2 linked regions of the Coturnix japonica genome follow. The protein of the gene in region 2 interacts with the protein of the main gene of each other region in a pairwise test. Links are inferred from orthologs where the notes say so. Each region holds a gene or a part of one and is shown on either strand. Other genes may lie near its edges.

Region 1 (7,014 bases), on a different chromosome or scaffold from region 2:
TCTCCGTGCCAGATAATTCTTTTGCAGCATGTAAAATGGCTTCAGTGAGATCACTTAAAGACTGAGCTGAGGGAATGAGGTTCATGAAGTTTTGTATTTGAAAGGCAGTGCTCTGCAGGGAACTGGGATTCTGAAGTGCTGCATCTGCACACTGAGCAAAAGTGCTGTACAGAACGTGTCTGCAAAGGACTGGACTTAGGATTGATGGCCAGAAGTAAACTTCTCTTGGCCTCATGCACACTCTTACTCTTTTTCAATAGACTGAAATGCTCAGGGGAACCAGCCTGGCTGCACTGGTTTAAGAGTTTGTGAGCCTGTAGTTGTTAATATGAACTGTAGATCAAAATCACGAGTCTTTTGTTTGTAAATAAAACAAGGCTTCTTTGTTTGCAAGGCTGAAGAGTAGTTATGGAGAGTGTTGGTCTCTTAGAGACTAATCAAACTCTGCTTGGAAATAAGGTTTGAGGTCTTACATTCCTTTGTGAATTTGAACAAGAGTCTCATCATCAGAATTTAGGAAGAAAGACTTAATAGCTCATCCACCTATTGGAACAAAGGCTTAGTGTGGATACAGCTAAAACTCTAGGCAGCTGGCTCGCTTCTAGCCTGTAATGAGCTGTTCCTGGTCAAAGATAACTGTGTCCTTAGGAAACTAACATGCCTTAAAGAATGTGCTTAGTAGTTTCATCTGGATACCTGACTACCCAGGTGATAAGCTTAAAATGAGTTTTGCTCTTAAGCCTTGCTGCCAGATCAAATGCTGATATACTGCCCCATTGATAATTAAACTGATATGATGCTTTGCACCTGGAAGTAAGATGTATTCAAACTATTCAGCTATCTAAACTGCGCTGTTAATTCTTTTCCAGATTAAATCAAGATGTCTTCAGGAAAGGCTTTCATTGGAAAACCAGCCCCTGAGTTTACTGCCACAGCAGTAATGCCAGATGGGCAATTCAAGGATATCAAGCTCTCTGACTATAGAGGTGGGCTTATGTACATCTAATTATGCAAATGCAGTCTCCCCTTGTGCAGGGGATGGGAGGTGGGGAGGGGGAGCATCTAATGAAGCCTTTGGTTTGGTTTCCAAGTAACAGTGACCACTTGACTGTAGTTAATTTACAGTGATTTTGTTCATTGCCAACTGGAATGTGTTTGGGAAGCTGTTGACAGCATGACTGAATGTCCTAATTATGATGATTGTTGGTTATTAGCATGAAATTCCTCTAAAATAGAACAACTAAGTTTTATCCTAGATTCAGGCATTTTGAGTCTGATATAACAGCTTCAAAACAGGTGAAACTACAAGATCTTGTTTATTTGTTGGTGGAAAGTAGAATTCCCTCTAACTAAAGAAGCTTCTTTCTGCTGAAGTACTAGAAAACTATTGTGTCACTCCTTGCAGGCTTGGTACTGCTGTAGAACCTAATGTAAGAGATTAACTGGTGACATTGCTCTTCTAGGGAAATACGTTGTGTTCTTCTTCTACCCTCTGGATTTCACTTTTGTTTGTCCAACTGAAATCATCGCATACAGCGACAGAGCTGATGAATTCAGGAAAATTAACTGTGAAATAATTGGAGCTTCTGTTGATTCTCACTTCTGTCACCTTGCCTGGTAAGAATCAGCCTTTTAACATTAGACATTACTGTGCCTGGCCTCAGTTCTTACAGGAACTGGATTCTGAGTATTCAGACTTAAACTTAATTTACTTGTGTGTCAAATAAAGTCCTGTAGGAAGTACTGTCATTCCAGATGCTTCTGAACAGAATTGGGAGTACCGGGCAGTTCCTTTGTTACTTCCTGGCATGCTTTGTGCATCTGAAGTGCGCTTTGGATGAGCCTCTGTTGTACATTATGAACTGACCTTCTTTCTTAACACTTCTGCTCTTAGGATCAACACTCCTAAGAAACAAGGTGGTTTGGGCACTATGAAAATCCCACTGGTTTCTGACACAAGGCGTGACATTGCCAGAGACTATGGAGTACTTAAGGAGGATGAAGGTATTGCATACAGGTAATGAGCAATAGGGTAAGCCTGTTAATGTTATTGCATCATGCAACTTTAATGCAGAACTTGCATATACTTGAACATCTGCAGTGAACTGAAGTTCTCAGCTATTCAAGATGTAAGCTGCTTTAAGCTATCACACTTGTGCAAGGAGAGACGTTACTTGTTTAGACTTAGGGTTTTGGTAAGCTAGATAAATGTCTGCTGCTTTCCTTTGATAACAGCATTACTTAGAGCGTTACCTATCTACATGATGCAGGTGAGCTTATGCAAACATGGCTAATACAAGATCTGCATAGTCCTGAAAGTGATTAGAGGTATTTAGTGACTAAAGTACAGAGGAATTAAAAGCTGTGCCTTATCTTTTAGTCAGCTGAACAGTTGAAGTTGCTGAAGGAGCTGAACTTGTGCTAACTCTTCATGTGATTATAGAGAACTAACTGATGGGCAATTGGCCATAGCTGTATTTCTAAGAACTGCATAGTTGTTTTTTCCTTTTTTTCCTCATTTCTTTTGTTTTCCTTAAAGCAAAATAAACACAGGAAAGTAACACTTCATTTCATATTTATCTCCTGTCTCTCTTAGCTCCTGTTGAATGTATGATTGTTTTATTATGATGTTGTATTAGTGTAGGAACAGGGCTCTGCTTTTGGGAAAGGAAGAGGTCGATAATACTATACCATGCCATTAAGTTTTATGATTGAATATTGTTTCAGGCAAATCTGTCCAAATTTGTGTTTAACTTCAGATCTGTCTTTGTAGGGGCCTGTTCATAATTGATGAGAAGGGGATCTTGAGGCAGATAACAATTAATGATCTTCCTGTTGGCCGTTCTGTTGATGAGACCCTGAGGCTTGTGCAAGCCTTCCAGTTTACAGATAAACATGGAGAAGGTAAGGGATCACTCTGATTCTAAATGGGTCTCTAGAGAATAGTATTAACTAAGCAGGTTAGATAGGTTTGCTGAAAGTTACTAATTATGTATAGAATTGTGCTGGTTGTAACGAAGCTGTTTCTGTAAAGATGTTTATTGAAGTGCACCACAACACCATACAACCTTATTCCAGTTAATGGTCCATCAAGTATTTGCTTGATGTTGAAATCACTTAAACCACGTGCTGGGCATCTTGGCAAGTACGTAGCAGTAGGTCCATCTTCAGTTGGACAACACTCTTCAATACCCTTCTTCAATTAGAAAATGTTCCAGTGTTGAGGAACGTCTTAGTTTTGCCTGCAGAGGCAAACATAACTTAGACTTGGCTCTCAGACTTGATAGGCTGGACACATTTGGTACTGATGATACATATACTAAGCAGTCTGTTGGAGCATTTAAGTTTTCTGAAAGCCTGCTGGTTTGTGTCCATGAGTACTGAGGCCAAGTGAAGAGGAAAATGGCAAGAGTTCTTGTGCCTGTAGTACAAGAGTGATAGAAAGGTGCTCGAGGCTGGATGCTTTTCCTAGAATAAAAAAGCACACTGCATATGAAAGCTTTGATGTGGTTTATGTAAAGCTAGAATTAACATAAAGGTGTTAGTAGTATTTAGCTGTTATTAGTTAATTGCAGGTGTTGCTATTGCTCATGCATAATGTGCTTCAGAGCTGGTAGATCTGTGTTGCACTTTATTAAAACCAGTTGCTATTGGTTTTTGTGCTGTAGCCCAAAGAGCGTAAATGTTTCTTAACTTAGATGCCATTTTCTATTTCAACTGAGGAGGCATCCTTAATATATGTTGATGGGGGCAGTCACATGTTGCCTTTGTCACATGAAGCCCTTTGAAGTTTGCTGTGCCCTGGAGTAGTCAAAACCTGGCAGAAGCTCTTCTTCCAGAGCAAGGCTGAAGTCTAGGCTAGGCTAAGGTATATAGCAACAATCAGAAGCTGAGAGCTGAAGATAATACTGAATTGATTTATGTATGTTGCAAGAATTTTAATAGCTATGAGTTGTTACTAACATGCTTTAGTGTCTGTATAAAACGGAGTGGGAGTGGCTAGGAAGGCTTACATGTTCTTATTGTTTCAGTGTGCCCCGCTGGCTGGAAGCCCGGCAGTGATACAATCAAGCCTGATGTTCAGAAGAGCAAAGAGTATTTCTCCAAGCAGAAGTAAACTTTCATTCTGAGTGGAAACTAGTATGCCTTACATAAAGAGCAAGTACCAGTTACTGAACTTTGACTAATTCATTGCATTTGAGTCAAGGGATCATGCTAGAGGTATAAGCAGTAACTTTTTTTTTTTTTTACTTGAAGGAAAGTTAGTCCTGTTGACAGTAACTTTATAGAAAACCTTAATGATCAATATCTGTACATCGTGGCCTGTTGACTTTAGTGATGATGCAGTATATGTGGTTAGCCATGCGTTGCATATAGAATAATGGTATCCTTTTGTAACTATTAAACTTGTGGAAAGAGCACACTGTGTCCTGGTCTTGTGTAGTCAAGAGCTTGGTGAGCTATGCAGGCTGTGCTTCTGCTTCACTGACAAGTACTGACAAAGTGAATTCACTAGAGAATACACAAGTGATCTCTGTAGAGCGAACTGTACTCCTTCATAGCATATGTGGGTTATGGTGAAATCCTCTGTTTCAGTAAGACAACTTCTAGATAGCAGTGAAAAATCATGGTCTTGCTGCTCAGTCTGTCTGTTGAACTGCTTGTAGGCAGCCAAATTCCCAGAGGCCTTCTGCAGCTCCATTAGAATGAGATCCCAACACTCACTTCTGTGTTTGTATTGTAAAGTTCTTAGCAGAAGAAAAAAATGGAATGTAGTGGAATGCATTTTGACCTGGATCTGTCAGGGTTAAGAAGTACTGCAGAGCAGAGTGTGAAGCCCAGTTGTGGCTGACAGAGACCAGGCATGTCTTTGTGTACAGTATGAATTTATTTTGGTCAAAATGGATTGCATAGGCCAAAGCTCTGGGAATCCAAACATGCAGTTTGAAGACACCAGAGGAGTGGAATATTGGGCTTCCTGGAAATAACTTTCTTTTTGTATATGGTGTGGCTTCTTTGGATGCACAACATGGAGCTGGGAGTCCTGGGAGGAGTAAGAACATGCCAATTGATCATATGACTGCAAGGTACTGGAGAAGATCAAAAGGGTGACACTATGAACTAGGATACCTGGATTGGCTCAGCCTCACCTTTTATCTTTGTACTATGCATGAGTTTTATAATATGCACATAAGGCCATAGTTGTATGCCTTGATCAACTTAAACTTAATTACAGCTGTATTGGCCATGTGGCTTCATGTGTAAAGGAGCTACTGCTTTGCAGTGCAAGCGAGTTGGAGCCTTGTGATAGATCTTTACAGGTATGTAAACAACTCTCAAATACTAAGATGTAGAAATGAGTTCTATTTGCTGAAGTGAACAGCAACAAAGTTAAGACCCAGGGCTACTTCAAAGGAGTCAGGTGCTGAATATGAAGTTTTCCCCTGTTAAAAGGGCAATGGGGGAGGTCAGAGCTAGTCTGGTGTCAGCCTTCAATTGCACTGGGCTCTGCTCACTTTGAAGTAGGAGGGGATTGGTAACAGCAGTCCTCGGGAGGGCTCTGTGTGTTTCAGTCTATTGGAATGCGTTTTGTTTTCCCTTCACTTAACTAAAATCACTTCCCCTGCAGCCCGGAGCGCTCCGGGGCCGCCCCCCTCCCTGAGGCGGTGTTGTTGTTCCCGCCCTGCCGGGAGGCGCCATTTCCCCACAGCCGGGTGTGTGTGGGAAGGCCCGATAAAAACCCTGCTGCCTTCGCTCTGCTAACGGCTGCAGCTTGTTGTGCTTGTACTGCACTGTGTTTGTGCCAAATAACCGGTTAAACATGGGAATGAATGCAGTGCGTTGATACAATTGGAGTACATCGCCTCGTCCAACAGATCAATACAGGTCTAAGAACATAAGCAGGTAGGTTATGTGCCACAGATATTGTGAAACGGTGCACTTTGGTTGTAAAAGAATATGTGCAGACCTCAGCAATTGCACTCTACATCAAAAGGGTGGTTGCATAAAGCATGGATTTTATTCATAGTTTGAAAAATGTACTCTGAAAGTTGTTACACTGATGTTCAGTAGTGACAGCCTGCATAAGTTCTGAGTGACTTGGACATATTGAGCTATAGAGGGCTTACAAGAGAAACTTCGTGATTCAGCTTTGCAAAGGGAACAATAAGGGGCTATGTGAAGCTGTAGGGTGGGGTGGGCAGACAGCTCTGCTCAGTATGTGCTGTAATGGACGCGCCCTTGCAGCACACAGGGCAGCTATAGAGCTGGGTGGAAGCGCTGCATTGCTGGCAGCTCCTACAGGAGCCATGGGCTGAGGTAAGTTCATCCCACCACACCTAGCGATGATGGCTTTGGACTTCAATGTGAAACTTGGCTCCTTGAGCTGAAACTTAAATCTCTGCAATTGCTCTCCTGAACGTGACTCTTGAGTTCATGATGTTTCTTTGTAAGATACTCGCTGGCTGTATATATCTACATGATATTCTTCTGTCAGCACAGGTTGAGGAGTTACAGCTGGCTCCGTGCTGCAGTAAATAGCAACACCCACTTCCTCTTCAAGAACAGCTTTGAACCACTGCACCTGCGAGCAGAGTTAACTCTTTATATGCATGTTTTGCTTGGAACTGAACCAATAGTTCAGTTGGTGCACCAATAGCCATGTTGGGGCTGACCAGTTGCTGCCTGTAGTTTAGACAGCAGCATCAGAAAGTAGCTGTGCAACACAGTGCTTAGTGAGTCAATCCAGAGTGCTTATTCTTACACTGAGATAAGAGTAATTGCTTTAACTGGTAGGGGAAAAAACAGGCCCTGAAGTGTTTTCCTGTTTCAGAGGAATGATCACCGTGTCTGCTTGTCACCAGATTAGACAGTGCTTTGCATTTAATCACATTGTCACAGGATTAATCTTAATAAAAATCGCATCTTTTTCTTTATCTTGGACTTCATCGTTAACCTCAAAGTGTCACTGATGGAGCAGGTAAATCATTAATGTTATGTGCACAGAGAAATGGC
Region 2 (7,531 bases):
GCTGGAGCTGCTGGCCCAGCAGTTACAGGCTGGCTGGGCTACCTTAAAGCATACATTCAATTCTTTTTTGCTTCCCAATGACACGCAAACAAAGCGCTTCAGATGGTGAACACTTTTATTGATGTAAGGTGGTACACATACAGATCAGTTTCTATCAGCCTCTCCCACCTCCCCCAGGCTGAGGAAGAATTTGGAGGAGGAGTGGGGGAGACAGAAGGGAACAGAACTGGCCTCTCACAGCAGGATGCAGAACTGAGTGGTGGTGAAGAGCGGGGGCTCCAACAAAGGGTCCTGCTTCCCTAGGCAGCAGGGGGGCTGTGTGCCTGTGCCTGGCTCACTCCTTGGATGCCATGTGGACCATCAAGTCCACAACACGGTTGCTGTATCCAAACTCGTTGTCATACCTGAGAAGGGAAACACAAGTGCAGTCAGCACTGATCCAGCTCCTCGTATCCCTCTTCATGTTACTGCTCTTCCAGCCTCAGCCCATATAACCAAGTGGCAAGGCTTCCCATCCAATCCTTATGAAGCAAACAGGCAGCATCCCATCTGCCCTCCATTACAGGAAGGCAGCTGCAGCCATTTCAGATACGAAGCCATCTCACTAGAGACCGTCACATGCTGAAGCCACCTGAACCCTGTGCTGCCATGCACTGCCAGATGGTGCTGACAAAATGAAACAGCACAGAACTGCACCAGAACTGCTCGTCTCTACCCTCCCAGTCTCCCCCACACCCCGAGGCTGAGCATACCAGGAAACAAGCTTGACGAAGTTGTCATTCAGTGCAATGCCAGCACCCGCATCAAAGGTGGAAGAATGGCTGTCACCATTGAAGTCACAGGAGACAACCTGGAACAGAGGAAGAACCGTCAAGCACTCTTCCACCCAATAAGATGGTAACAGCCTGAACCAGAAGCGTCAAAAACATCACCCCAGCAAGGCTGCCACCATCAGAACAATGAGGCAAGTGACACCTACGTAGCAACTATTTACCTGGTCCTCTGTGTATCCTAGGATGCCCTTCAAGGGCCCCTCAGCAGCAGCCTTCACTACCCTCTTGATGTCATCATATTTGGCCTAAAAAAAGGCAGAAGTAAAGATGGTCAGGTCAAATCTCATCTCTAAGTGTCAGCTACAGCCCAGACACTGGGAACTGCATAGCACTAGCCATGCACATTAGGTGCTATTTTCAGCAAAACCAAGATTTTTCTATTAAATAGATTGATGTTGAAGGAAGTAATTTTAGAGGCAGGCCTGAAGATTCTTCAGTCTTGTCCACAGCACTTACTGGTTTCTCCAGACGGCAGGTCAGGTCAACAACAGAGACATTGGGGGTTGGCACACGGAAAGCCATTCCAGTAAGCTTCCTGCAAGAGATATGTCAGCAAAGAACAGTGTAAGCATGTTCTACCACAAAAGTGTTTGAGCCAGCCACACACTGGCTCCTGCCCCCCATCAGACACAGAAAGAGGACGCTCACCCATTGAGCTCAGGGATGACCTTCCCCACAGCCTTAGCAGCCCCAGTGGATGCTGGGATGATGTTCTGGGCAGCACCTCTGCCATCCCTCCACAACTTCCCAGAGGGGCCGTCCACAGTCTTCTGTGTGGCTGTGATGGCGTGCACAGTGGTCTGTGGAAAGAAGGCCCAGAAGTAAGAAAGCAGTCACTTTCCCCAGAGAAAGCACCCCCAGCACTTCCTCCCAAGCCCAATGGAAGCACTGTGTGTGAATGCTTTTTTCCCCCACACATGGAGGACCTGGGGGCAGGGTATCTTACTGAGCATCAAGCTCCAGACCTACCATAAGACCCTCCACAATGCCAAAGTTGTCATGGATGACCTTGGCCAATGGTGCCAGACAGTTGGTGGTGCATGAAGCATTGCTGGGGGAGAAAGAAGGCACATCAGCCAAGTACAACACATGTATATACGTGCAACAAGACCCGAAGAAAATTCCAGGCCAGGGAGCATTCTTCTCCCTTACCTAACAATTTTCAGGGACTTATCATATTTCTCATGGTTGACACCCATCACGAACATGGGAGCATCAGCTGAGGGGGCTGAGATAATAACACGCTTAGCACCACCCTTCAGATGAGCCTGAAAAACAAAAAAGGAAAGATTAAATTACCCAGAACGGCCCAACAGTTGAGAAGGAATACAATCCTCAGAGCACCTTTTCCCATGGGCCACAGCAGCCTACATACCCCAGCCTTCTCCATGGTGGTGAAGACACCAGTGGACTCCACAACATACTCAGCACCAGCATCTCCCCACTTGATGTTGCTGGGGTCACGCCTGAGAGGGGACAAAACCATGGGAGTTACTCTGGAGGGCACTTACTTTCATTCTCTGGAGCAGCGAGAGAAGAAAGCTACTCACTCCTGGAAGATAGTGATGGCGTTCCCATTGATCACAAGTTTCCCGTTCTCAGCCTTGACAGTGCCCTTGAAGTGTCCGTGTGTAGAATCATATTTGAACATGTAAACCTAGCAGGGAGAGAAAAGAGAAGGGTCAGGCATCCTAGATGCAAAGCTCCCACTACAATACCAGCCATCTTGTCTAACTGCTGCTCTGTATTTTGCTCTGCCCAGCTTTGCATCACTACATCTCATTTCTCTCTTAACCTATGCCAGGTTTCCAAGGGGAGCCCCGCTGAAGGTGCACGCATCGCCCAGAGGGGGCACTGCAAGACAACTCACCATGTAGTTCAGATCGATGAAGGGATCATTGATAGCAACCACTTGGACTTTGCCAGAAAGGACAGCAGCCCTGGTGACCAGGCGGCCAATACGGCCAAATCTGGGGAGAAACAGAGAGGTGGGTGAGGAGGAGCACTGAGGAACATGCTTGGTAAGGCACGGCTGAGCCTATCTGCTACTTCCCCCCAGAGCATCTGTCAGTCGCTGCCTGAATGGAATCCAACAGCAGCGGCCAAAGGCCGAGGAGCCGTGGTTAAAGATTAAGAGCGACCCCCGGGCAGGGCACCCACACCACAAAGGTCAGGCGCTAAATTTACTGAGGGCCCCGGGGATCCGGTTACTCCTCGGTGCGGTGGGAGAAGGTCACGTTCCCGGGGCACGGCCGACACACGATCCACCGGGCGACCTTTCCTCGGGTACCCACTGCCCCGGGGAGCCCCATTAGTGCGGGCAGAGCCCCCGACGGGGCACGCGGGCAGCACCGGCGCTTCCGGGGTGACTCACCCCGACCGTGCGGGGAAGTGACTCAGCACCGCCCCACGGGGCCGTTACTCCCGGTTGGGGGTTGGAGGATGGGGGGGTCTCTCCGCGGCGCCGCGGGGCCCCCCGCCCTTCAGGCGACCTTGTCTCGTGTCGTCCTCCCCCCCCCCACGGGCACGTACATCCCCGCCCGCCCCGCCCGGCGCCTCCCGTCCCGGCTCCGCACTCACTCACCCGTTGACTCCGACTTTCACCATCTCTCCCTTATAGTGTACCTGCGGGGACACGCCAACGCTCAGACGTGCGGTACCGCACGCAGCCCGCCCGCCCCATAACACCCCCCCACCGCACGCACCGGGAGCCGCCCCCCCACCCGCCATCCCTCCCTCCCTCCATCCCCACCGAGCTGTGCCCCCCGCACCTCTCCCCCCACCCCCACCGCCTCCATCTTACGCCGCCCGCCCCCGCCTTTGTGCCCCGGGCACCACGCGGTCCTGCACAGCCCCCTCCCCCCGCCGCACTCCTCGCGGTCCGACGGCCCCGACCCTACGAGGGGCTCAAGCAGACGGGAGGGCGGCCGGCTGGGTGGGTGGGTGGGTAGGGGTGGGGGGAGCCGTTCCTCCGCCCCCGTGCCCCCCGCCCGTTACCTGCTCCTAGTCAACGGCCCCGGCGCGCAGTGAGAAGGTGGCGCAGTGCCGCTCCGCCGCCCTTTATAGACACGGCGGCAGCACCCCGCGCCCCGCCCCGCCGGGCCGGCACCGAATGGCAGCGCGAGGGCCGGGCCGGGGCTACGTGCACGCACGGTGCGGGTGAAGCGGCAGCCCCCCCCCCGCTTCTCTCCCCCTCCCCCCTCGCAACAAAGGGCGGCCGTTGGGTCGAGGGTGGGCTCGGGGGGTTGGGGCCGCACTGCGGGGCTTGTACGGAGTGGGGGTGCCCTTCGGATGGGGGGTGCAGACAAAGCCCCGCGTCGGTGTCCTCGGGTGAGGCTGCGGGGTGCGGCTGCAGCACGATGCGGTGCGGCGGGTGCGGGCTGCATTAATGGCAGCACGCACGGCCGAGAGAGCGCCGTGCTGCGAGCCCGCAGCCTGCCCGCTGCCATAATCAGCCCTCGCACGTGTTGGTCACGCAGCCCCGGGCTGCCGGGGTCCCGCACCCGCTGTCACACCGGCGCTCTCAGGCCGCGCTAATAAGGAACTGCAGCATCTCTTGCGCCGTGACAGCGGATATCCTCATATCCTCCCGCCGCCTCGAGCCGCCGCCGTCCCTCTCCCAGCCCGGCACGTCTGCGCCTGGCAGCCGGGCCCGGGGTGTGGGCAAGAAGCGGTTCTTACGTGTTACGGCTGGGGCTCGTGCGGCCCAAAGAGGGGCCGTGGGATGGAGCCGTGCTGGGTTTATAGCCTCCATCCCCTGCGATGGAGCGGGTGCTCGAAGCCGGATGCCCGGCGGGAGGAGGGGGCGTGCAGGGGTGAGGTGGGCCCCGGCTCCAGCGGTGGGGACGGAGGATGCCGGGGGGAGAGGGTCCGAGCGGGGGGTCACGCAGCTCCCGTAACCCAACGCTCCTTGTACGGCTGCCATTCCCGGAGCACCGAGGGGCAGCGGCTAAGTTTAGCCCCGGCTTGAGGTTACGACCTTTTCTTAAAGGCCAGGGGAGGCGGCGGTGCGGCCCGAAGGGGGCTGCGATCGCGGGGCCGGGGGAGCCCCCCGCACGTCGCGGGGTCAGGGCCGGCAGGGAGAGCGGAGGCCCCTTGTTTGCTCGGCAAACACGGCAGCGGCCGAGGGGCAGAGTGTGGCGGGACGGAACAACGCTGCGGCCCCGGGGCGCAGATCGATGGACCCGCCGCCCATCCTCCCCCCAGCGCCGGGCTCGGGCCCAGGCCGCGGACGCGCGTGCGGCCCGGCCCACCCGGAATGGCGGCGGCGCCCAAAATGGCCCCGCGCGTGGGGGCCGCGTTGCCGTGCGGAGCCGCGGGCTCTGCCGCCATCTCCCGGCGGACGCGGGCGGGGAGAGGCACGGGGAGGGTATCGCGGCCCGGCCGCCCTTCGGTGCCGCCAGCTCCGACACGAGGCTCCGCACAGCTCGGTTTAATTCGCGAGTCCCCCGCGCGCCGCCGCTCCTCGCCCTGCCCGCGGGGCTGCGGCCGCTGCTGCCCCAGCCTGTCCCGTCCCGAGCTGGGTCTCGTCCCGGGCCGGCTCTCCACACGGCCGCTCTCTGCCTGCCAACGAGCGAGCCGCTGCCCGCTGTGCCGGCCCCTCGCTGCTGCCCCCTTCACCTCCAGCTTCTCCGGGCTAACAGCCCAACCCGCTGAAGGCCCCGATGCGGTCCATTTTCAGCCCAAAACAGCCCCGGGGCGCGGCCTTCCAGGCCCAGTCTCCAGACAGAGCTCGCTTGCGATCGGCGAGGGCCTTGCGCCACAGCAGGGGCTGTGCGGCTCGGGCCCGAGGCAGGAGGAGCGGCTGCGGCTCGGAGCTGGAGCTGGAGCCCTCCTTCATGTCCTCATCAGCCGGCAGGGATTCGGAATCCGAGGGCAGCAGGCGGGAAAGGAGCACCTGAGAGAGGGATAAATGGAGATGGGCGAGGGTGTAATGTCTGTGCTCTTATATCCCGACCCACTGTCCCACTCTTCGTCCCTCAGGCTCGGGCAGGACGTGAAATGGTGCCTGTGAAAGCCCTCTGCCTGTGACCTTGCATCCACACCAAGGACACCGATGGCCCGCAGCTACTCTGCCTGAGGTGATTTTGCTGCCCAAAGAACAGGAAGGAGTGCTGTGGGCATTGCTGTCTCTATTCCTTGCCCTTCTGCTATTGAATAGTTCTCTCCATACCTGGAAAATAACAGTCATCGGCCCTTAGTCCTTTTGGTGCAGCTGAGTGCTGCTGTGTGCTCACGGTGTTTTGTCGTGTTTCTTTTTTTCACAGAGGAACTGTTAGCATAAAGCAGTCAACTATCAGAATGGGCCTAAGGAAGGCGGGCCCTTCATCTGCTGGGAAGTCTCCATAGTTTGTGTGCAGGCAGGCATGCTCTAATTTAATTACATGCCTCCATAGCCGCCAGCATCCTCCAGCGGCAGGGAGATGGGTCAGGAGGTGCCCTGGGGGCACAATGCTGCTGCCCATGGCGGCGGCCTGTGGTGGCTACTCCATGCCTGTGCATCACATGGATGCCTTTGTGCAATTTAGCTCCATCTTCTCCAGCAGTCAGTTAATGGAAGCAGACATGGGCATCTTCAGTGAAGAGTGAAAGTGTCTCCATGATGAGTCATAGCGGAATCAGTCCTGCGTTTCTAGTTCACATCCTAGCTCCTGCCTTGCAGCTTTCTTCTTGGACAGAGGAGCTGATATGAAGGCAGGGTGCCTCTGCACGCATTGAAGAGACCCACAGCCAGGAGCACTCAGAAGTCTGTTGCCTGGCCCCTACCTTGAAATGCTAGCACTCCTCAAGGAGCTGGCTTGTATAGACACAGCCTAGAGCTGAGGCTGTTGGACTGAAGGGGAGGGAGCAGCCCTTGGGAGCTGGGATGTTGGGTCACCTCACACCATGTTCAAACACGACCTCCCCAAACTGCCCCTGCCACTCCCAAAGCCTCCCGCAGCTCCATCCCATTCCCTCCTACCTGGAGCCTTTGTCCCGATGAGGACATCGCTTGTACGCTGGCAGAGAGCAGAACTAAGAGGAGGAAAAGCGAGCAGGGCCACGCTGGGAGCCCCAGCATCTTCTCTTTATTTGGGGGTTTATGGCAGGTGAGGCAAGATCTGTAGCCTCTGAGAGCCCTTCCCCTCTTTGCTTTTATAGTGTTGGTTGTGGTGGGCGCCTGCCCCCCAGCTCTGCTGCACAGCCCCCTGGAGCTCCTTAACCTTTCAGCCCTTTTGTCCATGGTGATATATTTCAGGGTGAGCTCAGTGAGACCCCTTCCTCTAAAGAATAGACACAAAAGTGTTTGCCGAGTGTCTGGGAAGACAAATGTAGGCCAAGCTGCTGCTGGCTGGGGCCTGGAGGTATCTATCTGGATCAGGGAGAGACTTCAAGACGCATCCAGAAACAGGGTGTCAGAGGCTGCAGTATGCAGTGCCACTGACATTCTCGTAGGCAGGGTGCTGTTAATGTTATCGCTTTAAGCACTGTGAGCATGAGCTGCAGCTCAGCTGGCGATTGTGTCACTGCTGGCCGCAGTGAGCTGTGGTGTTGTGGCAGTATAGGCTCTGTTTTTAGCACCTATGTTTTGATAAGCTGGTTGGCCAGGCGACACGGAGCTCCTGCTGCATTGGATGCACGGATTTCTATCTTAACTCTGGGATCTGTGGCAGTGGTAGGAGCATGGATCTAAGCACACATGGACACACAGCTTGCAC

The links.
Region 1: the proteins of GAPDH (region 2) and PRDX1 interact in a two-hybrid assay, tested with the Homo sapiens proteins (2 studies listed by BioGRID and IntAct, with this or other methods). The link is inferred for Coturnix japonica from reciprocal best matches to the Homo sapiens genes GAPDH and PRDX1.

What each region holds. Positions count from the first base shown.
Region 1 is NC_029523.1:18,747,541-18,754,554, reverse strand, and holds the end of PRDX1 (peroxiredoxin-1), read left to right. Parts: intron 1-869; 5' UTR 870-880; coding exon 881-986; intron 987-1,463; coding exon 1,464-1,617; intron 1,618-1,894; coding exon 1,895-2,017; intron 2,018-2,773; coding exon 2,774-2,904; intron 2,905-4,031; coding exon 4,032-4,117; 3' UTR 4,118-4,421; downstream 4,422-7,014. UniProt on the Homo sapiens protein: Thiol-specific peroxidase that catalyzes the reduction of hydrogen peroxide and organic hydroperoxides to water and alcohols, respectively.
Region 2 is NC_029516.1:69,301,735-69,309,265, reverse strand, and holds GAPDH (glyceraldehyde-3-phosphate dehydrogenase), read right to left. Parts: upstream 3,955-7,531; 5' UTR 3,831-3,954; intron 3,459-3,830; 5' UTR 3,441-3,458; coding exon 3,418-3,440; intron 2,804-3,417; coding exon 2,704-2,803; intron 2,491-2,703; coding exon 2,384-2,490; intron 2,300-2,383; coding exon 2,209-2,299; intron 2,102-2,208; coding exon 1,986-2,101; intron 1,885-1,985; coding exon 1,803-1,884; intron 1,634-1,802; coding exon 1,482-1,633; intron 1,369-1,481; coding exon 1,290-1,368; intron 1,079-1,289; coding exon 995-1,078; intron 851-994; coding exon 753-850; intron 405-752; coding exon 335-404; 3' UTR 98-334; downstream 1-97. Other genes in the region: C-type natriuretic peptide 2-like, read right to left, coding at 5,470-5,730, 6,007-6,024. UniProt on the Homo sapiens protein: Has both glyceraldehyde-3-phosphate dehydrogenase and nitrosylase activities, thereby playing a role in glycolysis and nuclear functions, respectively.